Cricetulus griseus: one gene and its partners. The protein of the gene in region 1 purifies or fractionates together with the protein of each later gene. This does not show direct contact. Links are inferred from orthologs where the notes say so. Each region holds a gene or a part of one and is shown on either strand. Other genes may lie near its edges.

Region 1 (4,780 bases):
CCAGGGCTCTTTAAAGAGACCCTGTCTCAAAAAACCAAGCGAAACATTAAACTTATTAAAGTCAACAGTCCTTGTCTCAAACTTTGATAATTCCTATACAAACTCCTAAACGATTCTGTTCGTGAAACATAGCTTCTCACCTCCTCTTCCAAAACCATTAAATAATCTATATAAATTGATTTCAATTCCCTATAGGGAGAGTAAAAGACACTTCAGGCACTAGATTCTACATAGTATGCAAAATACAAGATAAACCTAGGACAGTAACAAGAAGGAAGGTCAGCTAAAAGGCCAACATTTACATCCAAGTACCCAAAACTCAGAATCCCAATGCATTCGCATTGCAGTTGGTATTTTACTTAGTGATCCCTTCTATAGAGCCATTTCTATTACACAAACAAAGCTGAATCACTGCAGTCAGTCAAGTAGTGGTGGGTTTCCTGACTGCCTTCCTGCCTCTCCCGCTCTAGATCCCTCCTCATGCCAAATCACTGCAGTGCTTCCTATTGCATTCCCTTCTTTCTTTAAGAGTCTCAAAGGGACAGTCACCAAGTGGCTTGTCTACACTCCTATGTTCAATAACTAACAAGGCCAGACTTTAGTCAGAAACCCTCAGCACTCAAATCACAAGCATGATTTAAAGTTAACTTGCCATTTATTTGGAAGCTACAATCATGCAAGTTTCCAAATCCTTCCTAAAAATGACTCAGAAACAAAGCAAAAAGATTCCCTAATACCTTTCTATTGGGAGGAGGGGTCACATTCACACTAAGCCTAAATCCCCAGTCTTCAAATGTAATTTCATGTTTCCTCCCAAGGACACTAGATTCAGGGGACACTTCTTTCAGGGAGGCAGAGAGAGAACCCTCCATTACAACCAAACTCTCCTGGCTACAAACACTAAAATGAAGGCTGACCTTGAGCTACATTCATACTTTCCCCATCCCACCTCCTCCCACTCCCAACAGAAGCCAACAGCAACTCAAACCTGAAAGGCAAAATTCAGTTTAGTATCTTTCCTAAACTGGGGGTTTTGAAGCCTTCTGTTCTAAATTCCAAAGGCTGGAACAGTAATTTCTGACAAGACTCTAGGACTAGTTCTAGAAAAGCTGCAACAGAGCCAAACTGGAATTCAAGGAAAAGGGTCTGACCTAACTTTTGAAAAACAAGTGGCTTAAGTAATTTGGAAAAAATTAGGGGCAATAACACTTAATTCCAAACATGCATCCCATCCTAGCCCCCAACACTAAAATCACAAGGACCTATCTGCCTTAGTGCACATGCCTTTAATCAAAGCACTCAGGAGACTGATAGGTGGATCTCTGTGAGTTAGAGGCCAGCCTGGTCTACATACTAAGGTTTCAAGAAAGCCAGAGCGACAGAGTGAGACCCTATTCCTAAACAAACATAAATAAATCATGGTAAACATATATGTGATTTATCACTTTTAAAATACTACTTTGATAGATATTGCTTAACTGAAGTATCTAGGTACAAAATCAGAGAAAGGGAAGGCACAAAAAAAAACATAAATTGCCTACAACTGACTAAACACAAAAGATATTTCAATGAAATGGTGATAAGACTAAATTCAAATTAGCACGAGCTAAGGATAGAGCTTAGTGACAGAGAGCACTGTACAAGGGCTTGGGTTACATCACGGGGGTGAGGAAGTAGTGGGTGTCGAGTGAACAAAATAACTATTAAAATATGTACATAAAACCATTTGCTTAAAATAGATAAAACAGAGGTAGAGTGTATCTTAGTATATGAGCACTTGCTTTGCATGCATGCAACCCTGGGTTGGAACCCCAGCCACGCAACAATGAAGTCATAAAACAGGGGGAAAAAAAAAGAATTGTATTTCAAAATCCCCAAGCCTCAACCGAGTCCTCAAAATAGGTAAAGATCCCCAAGCCAAGCAACACGAATTTTCCAAACTTACGTCGTCAACCAAGGGAGTGTTACTAAACATTATTTAAATTAACTATTTTTCAACAGGTCTTTCCATGTGTCATAATGCTGAGTGCGAAGAGAAAAGTCATTTTTACAAACGGGTAGACTTGAGACACGGGTACTGTAAAAAGCCATCATTATTACAGGGTCCTGGCAAGCCTGGTCTCCTGTATTTAAGAATTCTATCCATCAGAACTCGGGCTTCTGAAGGTTGGGAAAAGAAAAAAGAAAAACCCACAGGAACTTTGGGATCCCCTGGGTGAGAACAAACGGAGCACGAGTGAGGCTCCACACATCCATGGGAGGAGGCGAGGCAGAGAAGCCCCCCAAAACCCTCAACTCCGAGGTGCGCCGGCCTGCGGGAAGGAATCCAATCGCAGCATCTCAGCTTGCCTCCACCCAAGGATGATCAATCTGCAGTGATTTCCACACACTCCACCCTCTCCAAAGACGACTCCCCACCAGCGGCCCAGAGAAGCCGTCCGCTCCTGAGGCTTCTCCTTTGTGAGGCTCCACAGCCGCCGCCCCACACTGGGCCTCCCGGGAAAAGCCACCGCCCCCACCCGCCATATTTCCCTGAAAAGGCGCCCGCGCTCCAGCTCCCTAAGATTCCGCCCTCCCCCGAGCGACCGCTGCTGCTTCGCACATCACCCCACCCGATTGTCCTCCGCATCCCGCCACGGTCCCGAAAGCTCCCGTGGGGATTGCGCGCCGGGAGACGGCACCCGCCACCTCCTCCCCCCTCCCCCGCCCGGGGACTCGCCCTCCCCCTTCAGCCGCCATTTTACAACCAACTCCTCCACCCTACTCCCCGGCCTGCTGGCGGGCGAGCGTCTGCAAGCTAAGGACACCGGAGGGGTCAAATTCCTGGGCCCGGAGACTCCCACCGCTTCGGGAGCCCGCAGGACATTTCCCGCTTCCCGACCCGCGTCCCGAGCCAGACTCGGGGACGATGCCGCCATTTTGTCTCCGGTTCCCGGCCTCTGTGGGCGGCGGCGGAGGGTCCGAGACTTCCAGCCCCCCGACACCCCTCCAACTCACCGTCGTATCGCTCGGCCTGCTCTGCCAGCTTCGCCTGGTACACCAGATCCTCCCGATCATCCATAGCGGCAGCGGCTCCGGCAGGGTCTGCGCGACGGATGGAAGCGGATAGCGTCTCCGACTCTCGGCTTCTCGCTCCGCGTCCGAGCAGTAAAAATGGCGGCGCTTCAATCCGGGACTTCCGCCTGCGCACGCGGACAACTGCTCAGCTCTATGGCAACCGCTCCCTGGCAACTGGCGCGGGGGGGCGGGTCCGGGAGTTCGGCGCCAGAAAAGGCTGGAACCAGCACGACTGACGCCCCTCCTCCGTCGGCTCAGCAGTAAGGCGGGAACTGCGACTGCGAAGAAGAACGGCCCAGGCGAGCGGGAGAGGCTGGAGGCCGAGACTGGGCTAAAGGAATGAGCCAGGATCCTGTTCGGTGGCCGCCGGCCGAGGACAGGCCTGCCTGCGGAAAGACCGAGCGAGCGAGAGGCTTGATGGGTTCTTGCAACTGCAGGCCTTCCTCACTGAGACCCACTCACTGTGCATTCCTGCACGTTTTTCTCATTCATGTGCCTTTTTCAGAGCCTTTTAACCTCTGTGTAAAGAACTGACAGGTGAACAAGGGAGGGCTCCAGTTTTTACGCGCCAACTTTTTTCTTGTTCACACACCGTAATCATGTTTTTCTTCCCTTCAGCCGTATTTTATCGCTTTGGCCCATCACAGATAGGACTTTTGTTTAAAGGCCCTGGTTTTAACGTGGTGTTGGTGCCACACTCCTTCAACCCCACCACTCCGGAGGCATTGGAAGGCAGATCTCTATGAGTTCTCGAAGCCAGCCTGGTCTGCACAGTTCCAGGACAGCCAAGGTTACACAGAGAAACCTTGCTTCTAAAAATCAAAAAAGAAACAAAAGTCTCTGGTTTTTTTTGTGTGTGTGGTGGTGCATACCTTTAATCTCAGCATTAAGGAGTCAGGAGGATCTCTGAGATTGGGACCAGCCTGCTCTACAAAGCGAATTTCAGGTCAGCCAGGGCTGCATTGTGAGACCTCCATCGGAAGGAAGGAAGGAAGGAAGGAAGGAAGGAAGGAAGGAAGGAAGGAAGGAAGGAAGGAAGGAAGGAAGGACAGACGGATGTGTGGTGTGTGTGTGTGTCTGTGTCTGTGTCTGTGTCTGGTTTTCCTGGGCATGCGTGGTTATATCCCACCCCTCCATACCAGCACTATAGTGGCTGAGGTTGAAGCAAGTTGGAATAAGATCAGCAACTTGAAGCCAATCCAGGCTATATAGGGAAATCCTGACTAAAGCGGAAAAGAAAGTGGCATGCCTAGTTTGGAGTTCAAGGTGCACCAGAGGTCGAGTAAGGACAAATTGACATTAATTAGCTAGAAACAAATAACCCTCAATCGGAATTGCTTCTCTTGCAATGGACATCATGTTCTGCTTCCCACTGGATTTTCAACGTCCTTTTTTTTAGATTTATTTATTTTACACACATGAGTGTTCTATCTGCATGTATGCCTGCATGACAGAAGAGGTCATCAGCCCCCCACTATACATAGTTTGAGTCACCATGTGATTGCTGGGAATTAAACTCAGGACCTCTGGAAGGGCAACCAGTACTCTTAACTGCTGAGCCCGATTTTCAACAGCTTGTACTCAATATCTGCTGCTGAGCCTCAGAGAAAAAGGGCTTCAAAATAAGTGTGAAATAAAAAAAGTTGGAAGCGGTCAGGCAGTGGTGGTGCTCGCCTTTAATCCCAACATTCTGGAGGAAGAAGCAGGAGGATCTCTGTGAATT
Region 2 (3,123 bases), on another chromosome or scaffold:
CCAAGTCTAAGAAGCATGCTCAGAGGTTTTCGTAAACAGTTGTGCTCCAGGCAAGAGGCATCAACACAGCAGTAATCCCAACACTTGGGAAGTGGGGGCAGGAAAATCAGAAGAAGGCTAGTCTCAGCTATACAGTGAGTTCAAGAGCAGCCTAGGCTATACAACAGCCTATCTGGAAAACAGACCAATGCCCCCTAAACAAAAACCCTACCAAAACAATCCTTGAGTCTGAGAAGTTCACAAGACAAAAATATTTAGAATCTGCCACACCTGAGCTGCTTGAAGGCCAAGAAAGGAGGTGAAACAGTATCCATAGTATAGTCCCTTTCTGATCTCACCCTAAGCCTGGCTTCATGGAGGATACACACTTGATGATCTCCGTATCAAAGGGCGAAAACCCCAGTGTTAAAATACATTAGTTCCGATGGTGCCTCCTGAATTGATGGCTCAGAGTCAAATCTTACATTTACAACTTAGTTAAAGGCACAGTGGCATTTAAAATTAAAATGCTAGGAATGTATAGAAAAGATTCATTGTAATAATTAACCTGGTTTCAACTAGGAGAATAAACTCTTGATAGACAATGCACACACCCAGTGATGAGAGCCTGTGTGCTGGTTACTATGAAGACCATGCCTTTGACCTTGAGAGTTGGTGGAAACAAGCTCACAAAATATCTCCATTTCCTTCCTGCGGTTCACATCTTTCCAGCCTTTTTGCCAAGCTGAGTCGGCACTCGGAGGATATTGGGGGTCTCCTCCATGACTCTGACTAGCAGGTTGTCTATGTAGTCTTCCAGCTCCCGCACCTGAAACTCCTTCTTGCTGATGGTTTCCTTCTGTTTGAGGACCAACTGGATCAGCTCATCATGGGTCAGCTGTGCATAGGCAAAGGCAGGATCCGAGGGCTGGTATTTCTGTGGGGAGGGGAGGAAGAGGGAAACAGTTACAAGTCAGCAGAGAAAGCAGACTTCTGAAAGGAATGCAAAGAAATTTCAGCAGCCATTGGAGTCTCTCTAACACTCATTTTGTTATTCTTCAGAGTCTCTCTATGTAGCCCTGGCTGACCTGAAACTCACTGTGTACACAGAACAGGCTGGCCATGAACTCATGGAGATCCGCCTGTCTCTGCCTTCCAGGTATTGGGATTAAAGGTTCATGCAATCACAGCTGGCTTGGAAATCCACTTTCAACATGGGCTGAAAACAGGTTGCTGACTAAAAAAAGTACCACAGACTTTGTAGACTGCGTAAAGGTTGCTTACATGCATTTTTACTTACTTTTTATTTTCTTTTTGCTTTATGATCCTTTGAAAAATGTAAAAACCAGGGGCCTGGGTGTAGCTCAGCAGTCGAACACTTGCTAGCATGTGTAAAGGCCCTGGGTTTGATCACCAGCATTTAAAAACCAGGAACTATCCTTGGTTTTTAATTCCTAGACCTCTGGTCTTGACCTGGGCACATGTTTTCAAGAAATTTAATAAGGGGGCTGGAGAGATGGCTCAGTGGTTAAGAGCACTGGCTGCTCTTTCAGAAAACCCAGGGTTCAATTCCTAGCATCCATATGGTAGCTCCTAACCATCTGAAACTCCAGTTCCCAAAAACCTAGCACTGTCTTTTTAGCTTCCTCTGGCACTGCACGCACATGCACACACACACACACACACACACACACACACACACACACACACACACACACACACAGATATACATGCAAGCAAAACAACCACAAACATTTAAAAAAAGGAAAAAAGAAGGAATATAATGAGAGCTTGGTGGGGAGGAGGGAAAGGAGGAAGAAAGCAACGTCAGATGGCAGTAGTAGTCACATAATCAGCAAGCCTCAGGCATAGTGTGCACACACTGGAGCCCAGCCACTTGGGGGGCTGAGGTAGATGAACCACTTGATCTCTCAAGTTCCTGGAGTTATACAACATGCAGAGCTGGAACAAGCCCCAAGTCAGAGTGGAAAGAAGATGTGGGGAGCACCCTCCTGCCTACACTGTAGGGTACCAGCTAATGAAGTCAGTCTGCTACCTTGAGGCACCCCAATTTGAGACTCTACCAAAACTTACTCCACACTCTCAAAACATGTATAGCTAAAGCCAAGTGCCACCAGGCCATGGACCTCACAGGTCACCTGAGTACACACACTCTGGGTACATAGTGGCCTGACCCAAGGACTGACTGTTTCTGTTTCTGAAGGGAGCACGTATCCGGAACAGTTGCTTTTAATGAGCATATATCATCTGGGCCAAGGAGACTCTAACTGCAAGCCTGAGAGTTCTGGGCCAAAAGGAAGCGAGAGACAAAAGACTCAGTAAGAAGTAACAAGTCACATCAAGGCCTTAGGAGGGAGTAAAAGGAAGGGCCTGGCAATCTGCACCTCAGATATACAAATTCAAGGAAACAAGACTCCAGAACAACTCAAGGTGATTTCTGCCCCCAGAACTCCAGGGCAGTAACAGGTTTTGTCACTTTTATCTTCTACCAGGAAGACCAATAAGTCAAGAACCTACCATCTCCAAGCAGAGCCAGGAGCCTGAACTAACAGTAATAGTCCAACAATAGCACAGAAGCCCCTCCCTGCCCCATCCAGAGAGCAAAGTGCCCAAGGAGAAGAATCCAGAGGAATTCTCCTTTCATTGGCTGGCTTAGAAACAAGAAAAACAAGCACTGTTTTCACATACACAGTAAGCATGAATCCAAATTAGGGGGCACATGAATAATGCAGATGCCAGGCTATTTCTCCCTTCCTCACCCCTGCTTTCGTCCTTTGAATTTGTTGAGGACATCTATATGGGGGGGGGGGGTTTGACCTTTTTTGGTCACGATACATAAGTGCTCTACCCCTGCACTCTGTGTGTGGCTTCCAAAACTAGATTCGAATTGGGCAAGATGGCACACACCTGTAATCCCAGCACTTAGAAAAGAGGTTAGCCTGAATCACGAAGCCAGCTTGGCTACAGTGAGACACTATCTCCCAAACAAAGCAAAACAAAAAACAAAAGAAGCTAAAAATCAGATTCAATGAAAAAGTTTTATGTCTAAGAAGTGTTCTGGACTTGGATACACAACAATGTGGATGCATTTAACACTACTAAATTATGTTTAAAATGAGGCTG
Region 3 (4,189 bases), on another chromosome or scaffold:
CACTAAAAGCATAAAGGATAAACACATATAAATAAGAGGTTTCACCAAAATTACAAACTTCTGGCTGGGTTTGATAGCACTTACCTATAATCCCAGCACTCAGAGGGCAAAGGCAGAAAGAGGAACAAAAACCTGAGGCCAGCCAGGACCATACACTGAAACCCAGTCTCAAAAAACCCAAATGAGGTTATAAGCGTCAACACTCAATGGATAGTATTTGCCAACAAAAGACGTGGAGAGGACTCCTAAACAAAAAGACAATGATATAGAATAAGTTAATCTCTCTTAAGATCCTGGGGCTGGAGCCAGGCATTGGTGGTGCACACCTTTAATCCCAGCACTCGGGAGGCAGGCAGATCTCTATGAGTTTGAGACCAGCCTGGATAGAGACCAGCTAGTTCCAGGATAGCCTCCAAAGCCACAGAGAAACCCTGTCTCGAAAAAACAAAAAAAAAAAAAAAAAAAAAAAAAAAAGATCCTGGGGCTGTAAAATGGTATGGTCACATTGGAAAGCAGTCTAGTAGTTCCTCAAAAGACTAAATATAAAGTTACCAGGCAGCATACCAATTTCATTCCTAGGTAGAGATCAAGAATATTAAAGCAGGTTAGAGTAGCACAGGCTTTTAACTTGGGAGGCAGAGGCAGCCAGTTCTCAAGTTTGAGGCTTGCCAAGTTTATAGAGTGAGTCCCAGAGGAGCTGGGGCTACATAGAGAAACTCTGAACCAAACAAGCAAGCAAACAAAAAGAAAAAAAGAAAGAAAATTAAATGTCCATACAAAAAACAAGTACACATGTCTTCATCACTATTCATGACAGCCAAAAAAAAAGTGGGAATACACAATGTTTATTAGTTAATACATAAAATATGGTAGTCACATAATAGACCACTCAGCAATAAAAAGAAATAATTCTGTAAACATTGCAGTAAGTGACATGAAGCTGGTTATGACAGATCATACTACATGATACCATATATACGAAATGTTCAGAGTAACCAAATCCAGAGGCAGAAAAAAAAAAAAAAAAAAGAGGCGCTGGGAAGGTTGAGAGGTGAAATGGAAAAGTAACAGCTAAGGGCTGCAAGATTTCTTTCTAAAATGATAAAAAATATTCTAAAACTGAATTATAGTAATAGCTGCAAAATTCTGCAAATACACAACAAACCACCAAATCACACTTTAAAAAAAAAAAAAAAAAAAAAAGACAAATGCTTACGTATACCAGACTAGCTTCCAATTCACTATGAAGCACAAAATGATCTGGAACTCCTGATCCTCCTGCCTCCATGCCAGGGCTGAGATTATAGACATGTACCATACCCAGTTTATACAGTGCTAGAGAATCATATACACTAGTACAGGGCTCCATAAATACTAGTACATATTCTACTAACTGAACTACATCTTCAGCCCCAAATTAAATATTTTAAACAGATAACTTTATAAGTTACATTTCAATGAAACTGTTTAAAATAAAACATATACCTAATAGTTTCTTACCACATACATACGCCCTTACCTTGAAGCCACAGCCCAGCCTGGCAATCCAAACCGTTCATAGTCTCCTCCATAAATGTCTCGAACTAATTTGTCCACTTTGGTGCTATCCCCACGAGATGCCATTTCAAGAGCTTCTTCAAAAGTGCTACAGCCAGTAAGAAGACAGCAGAGACCAAAGAAAGTTCCTCCTCCAAGACTATGATAAAAAGTAAACAATGTAGTATTTTTAAAACACAGGAATGGGATGTTAAGACTTATGAACTCCAAACAATATTCATGTATCAGTCTACTCTTGCCCCAATTAGATCATGCACGATACCAATAAGTTTGCAAGATAAATGTAAGTGCCTCATAAATACAAAATGTATATGTCCATGTGAGCCAACAAAGTAGAAAAAAAAATATATCCCATCTCCTTGTACGTGTCCCAAGCGCTGTCCACTCTTGCTGAGTATACAAGCCTCAGGTACACATAAGTAAGGCCAACATACCCAGAGTCATGGCAGCACCTACTTTCTGTCTTCAAGTGCAGAGTGACCTCTGACATCATTCAAGCACCTGTCACTAACCCACCAGACTCCTTTATTGAAACCCCTGTCTCCAATACTCTCATTTGTTGGCTAATGATTATTATACTCATTAGGTTAAGAGTTATTCAAACCCTCAGTTCCTTTTTTTCCTCAAATAACCCTTGAACTTTAACCAAAACATTCATTTTCTTTCATCTAATCCTCCCTTTTCAAATCACTTTTCTACTTATCAGTATCTCAACTTCTAGATCCACATTGTCTTACTTTTCTATTCCTGTGATAAGACACCATGACCAAGATGCCCTATATAAAGAATTGGGGAATACAGTTTCAGTCCATGAAAAGTTATGACAGAAAGCATGGTAGCAGGCAGGCATGGCACTGGAGCAGTAGCTGAGATCTCACACCTTGAGACATAACCATAAGGCAAAGAGAGCTAACTGGGAATGGCTAGGGTTTTTAAAACCTCAATGTGACAAATCTCCTCCAATGAGGCCACCCTTCTTAATCCTCCCAAACACTTCCATCAACTGAGGACCAAGCATTCGAATATATGACCCTATGAGAAGGCATTCTCATCCAAACCACCACATTCCACCCTGGCCCCCATAGGCTTGTAGCCATATCATAATGCAAAATGTATTTAGTCCACCCCCAAAAGTTCCCATAGTATTTCAGTCTCAACACTGTTTAAGTCTATCCATGTCTCTTCCAAGACTCAAGGCAATCCAGTAACAGTAACCCCATGTAAAAGCAAAAGCAAAAATCAGGTCACATAGTCCTGACATACAATGCACGGAATACACATTGCCATCCCAGATGGAGGAAAGGTCAAAGTGAGGAAATACTGGACCAAACCAAGACTGAAAAATAGCAAGGCAAACTCCAAATCCACTATTTCTGTCTGATGGCAAAGGACTTAAATGGCTTTCCCCTTCCAGCTTTGCCAACTATTACACACTTCTCTCTTTTGGGCTGGTTCCACAGCCTGCCTGTGACTCTCCTTAGCAGGTATTCCAAGGCTCTGGTGTCTCCAATATCTTGGGATCTCTAAGGCAATCCAGGCTTCACCTTCACAGCTTCATACATGGCCTCTCAGGGCCTCCATGAAGGGACTTCCCTGCCATATGCGTGGCCTCAAGTGGTTTTCCTTAATCATGAAGACTCCACACCACTTTACTCATGTATCTGTCTTGACGCTAAAGCCAAAACCATGTCGGTAACTGCCAAGTTAAGCTGCCTGCTTAGGAAGAGACCTGGCCCCTTCCTGAATTACACTTGCAGCAGCTTTCCTTTATTGCTGGTTTTTGTTTGTTCTGAGCAGAAAATTTTCCAGGCATTTCCTTCTTACAAGTTGAAAGCTTAGCTGGGTAGTTTCTTGCTCTGAGAGCACCCACCCCTTTTATTTTATTTACCATCAGGCCTCACCTTATCTTTCAGCATAGGCCTTGGTTCTGACATTAAATCTTCTAATGCTATTTTTCCACTTCAAACTGTATATTTTGTATTTCTTTTTGTTTCACTTATCCTTTTGCACTGAAGATCTTCTCAGCCAAGAAAATTAATGCATCATTTTTTCAATTTTGCCTCAGGCATTTTTTTAGGACAAGAGCAGAAAGTAACCATATTCATTCCAGAATATCACAAGAATGATCTCTAACTCAGTTGCTAATATTGTTCTCCTCTGAAACACTTTTTGTTTGGTTTTTTTGCTTGTTTGTTTGTTTGTCTGAAACAGAGTCTCTATATCAGCATTTTTCAACCTGTGGGTTGCAACCCCTTTAAGGGTCAAATGACCCTTTTACAAGAATCATCCGAGACCATCACAATTCCTAACAGTAACAAAATTAGCATAGAAAATAATTTTATGGTTGCGGGTCACTACAACATGAGGACTGTACTAAAGGGTCACACAGCATTAAAAAGGCTGAGAACTAGTTATATAGTCCTGACTGCCTGGAATTCTGTAAGAACAGTCTGGTCTTGAACTCAGAGATCCTCCTGCCTCTGCCTCCTGAGTGCTGGGATTAACAGCATACACCATACCATACCTGACCCCATCTGAAACCTCTTGAGCTGGGCATCCATAGTCAACATTGCTCTTAGTACTGCTGTCTTCCAAGTTCCTACTAAGATGGTCCTATTCAGCCCTGCTTTCA

Evidence for each region. Proteins that work in one complex are often made in the same cells at the same time.
Region 2: the proteins of 14-3-3 protein epsilon (region 1) and Rab11fip1 purify together in Homo sapiens (affinity purification with mass spectrometry; 3 studies listed by BioGRID and IntAct, with this or other methods). This does not show direct contact. The link is inferred for Cricetulus griseus from reciprocal best matches to the Homo sapiens genes YWHAE and RAB11FIP1.
Region 3: the proteins of 14-3-3 protein epsilon (region 1) and Pank2 purify together in Homo sapiens (affinity purification with mass spectrometry; 3 studies listed by BioGRID and IntAct, with this or other methods). This does not show direct contact. The link is inferred for Cricetulus griseus from reciprocal best matches to the Homo sapiens genes YWHAE and PANK2.

The regions. Positions count from the first base shown.
Region 1 is NC_048600.1:89,183,823-89,188,602, reverse strand, and holds the start of 14-3-3 protein epsilon, read right to left. Parts: upstream 3,176-4,780; 5' UTR 3,062-3,175; coding exon 2,998-3,061; intron 1-2,997. UniProt on the Homo sapiens protein: Adapter protein implicated in the regulation of a large spectrum of both general and specialized signaling pathways. Binds to a large number of partners, usually by recognition of a phosphoserine or phosphothreonine motif.
Region 2 is NW_023276807.1:56,694,511-56,697,633, reverse strand, and holds the end of Rab11fip1 (rab11 family-interacting protein 1), read right to left. Parts: intron 917-3,123; coding exon 698-916; 3' UTR 697-697; downstream 1-696. UniProt on the Homo sapiens protein: A Rab11 effector protein involved in the endosomal recycling process. Also involved in controlling membrane trafficking along the phagocytic pathway and in phagocytosis. Interaction with RAB14 may function in the process of neurite formation.
Region 3 is NC_048599.1:47,283,790-47,287,978, forward strand, and holds part of Pank2 (pantothenate kinase 2, mitochondrial), read right to left. Parts: intron 1,697-4,189; coding exon 1,520-1,696; intron 1-1,519.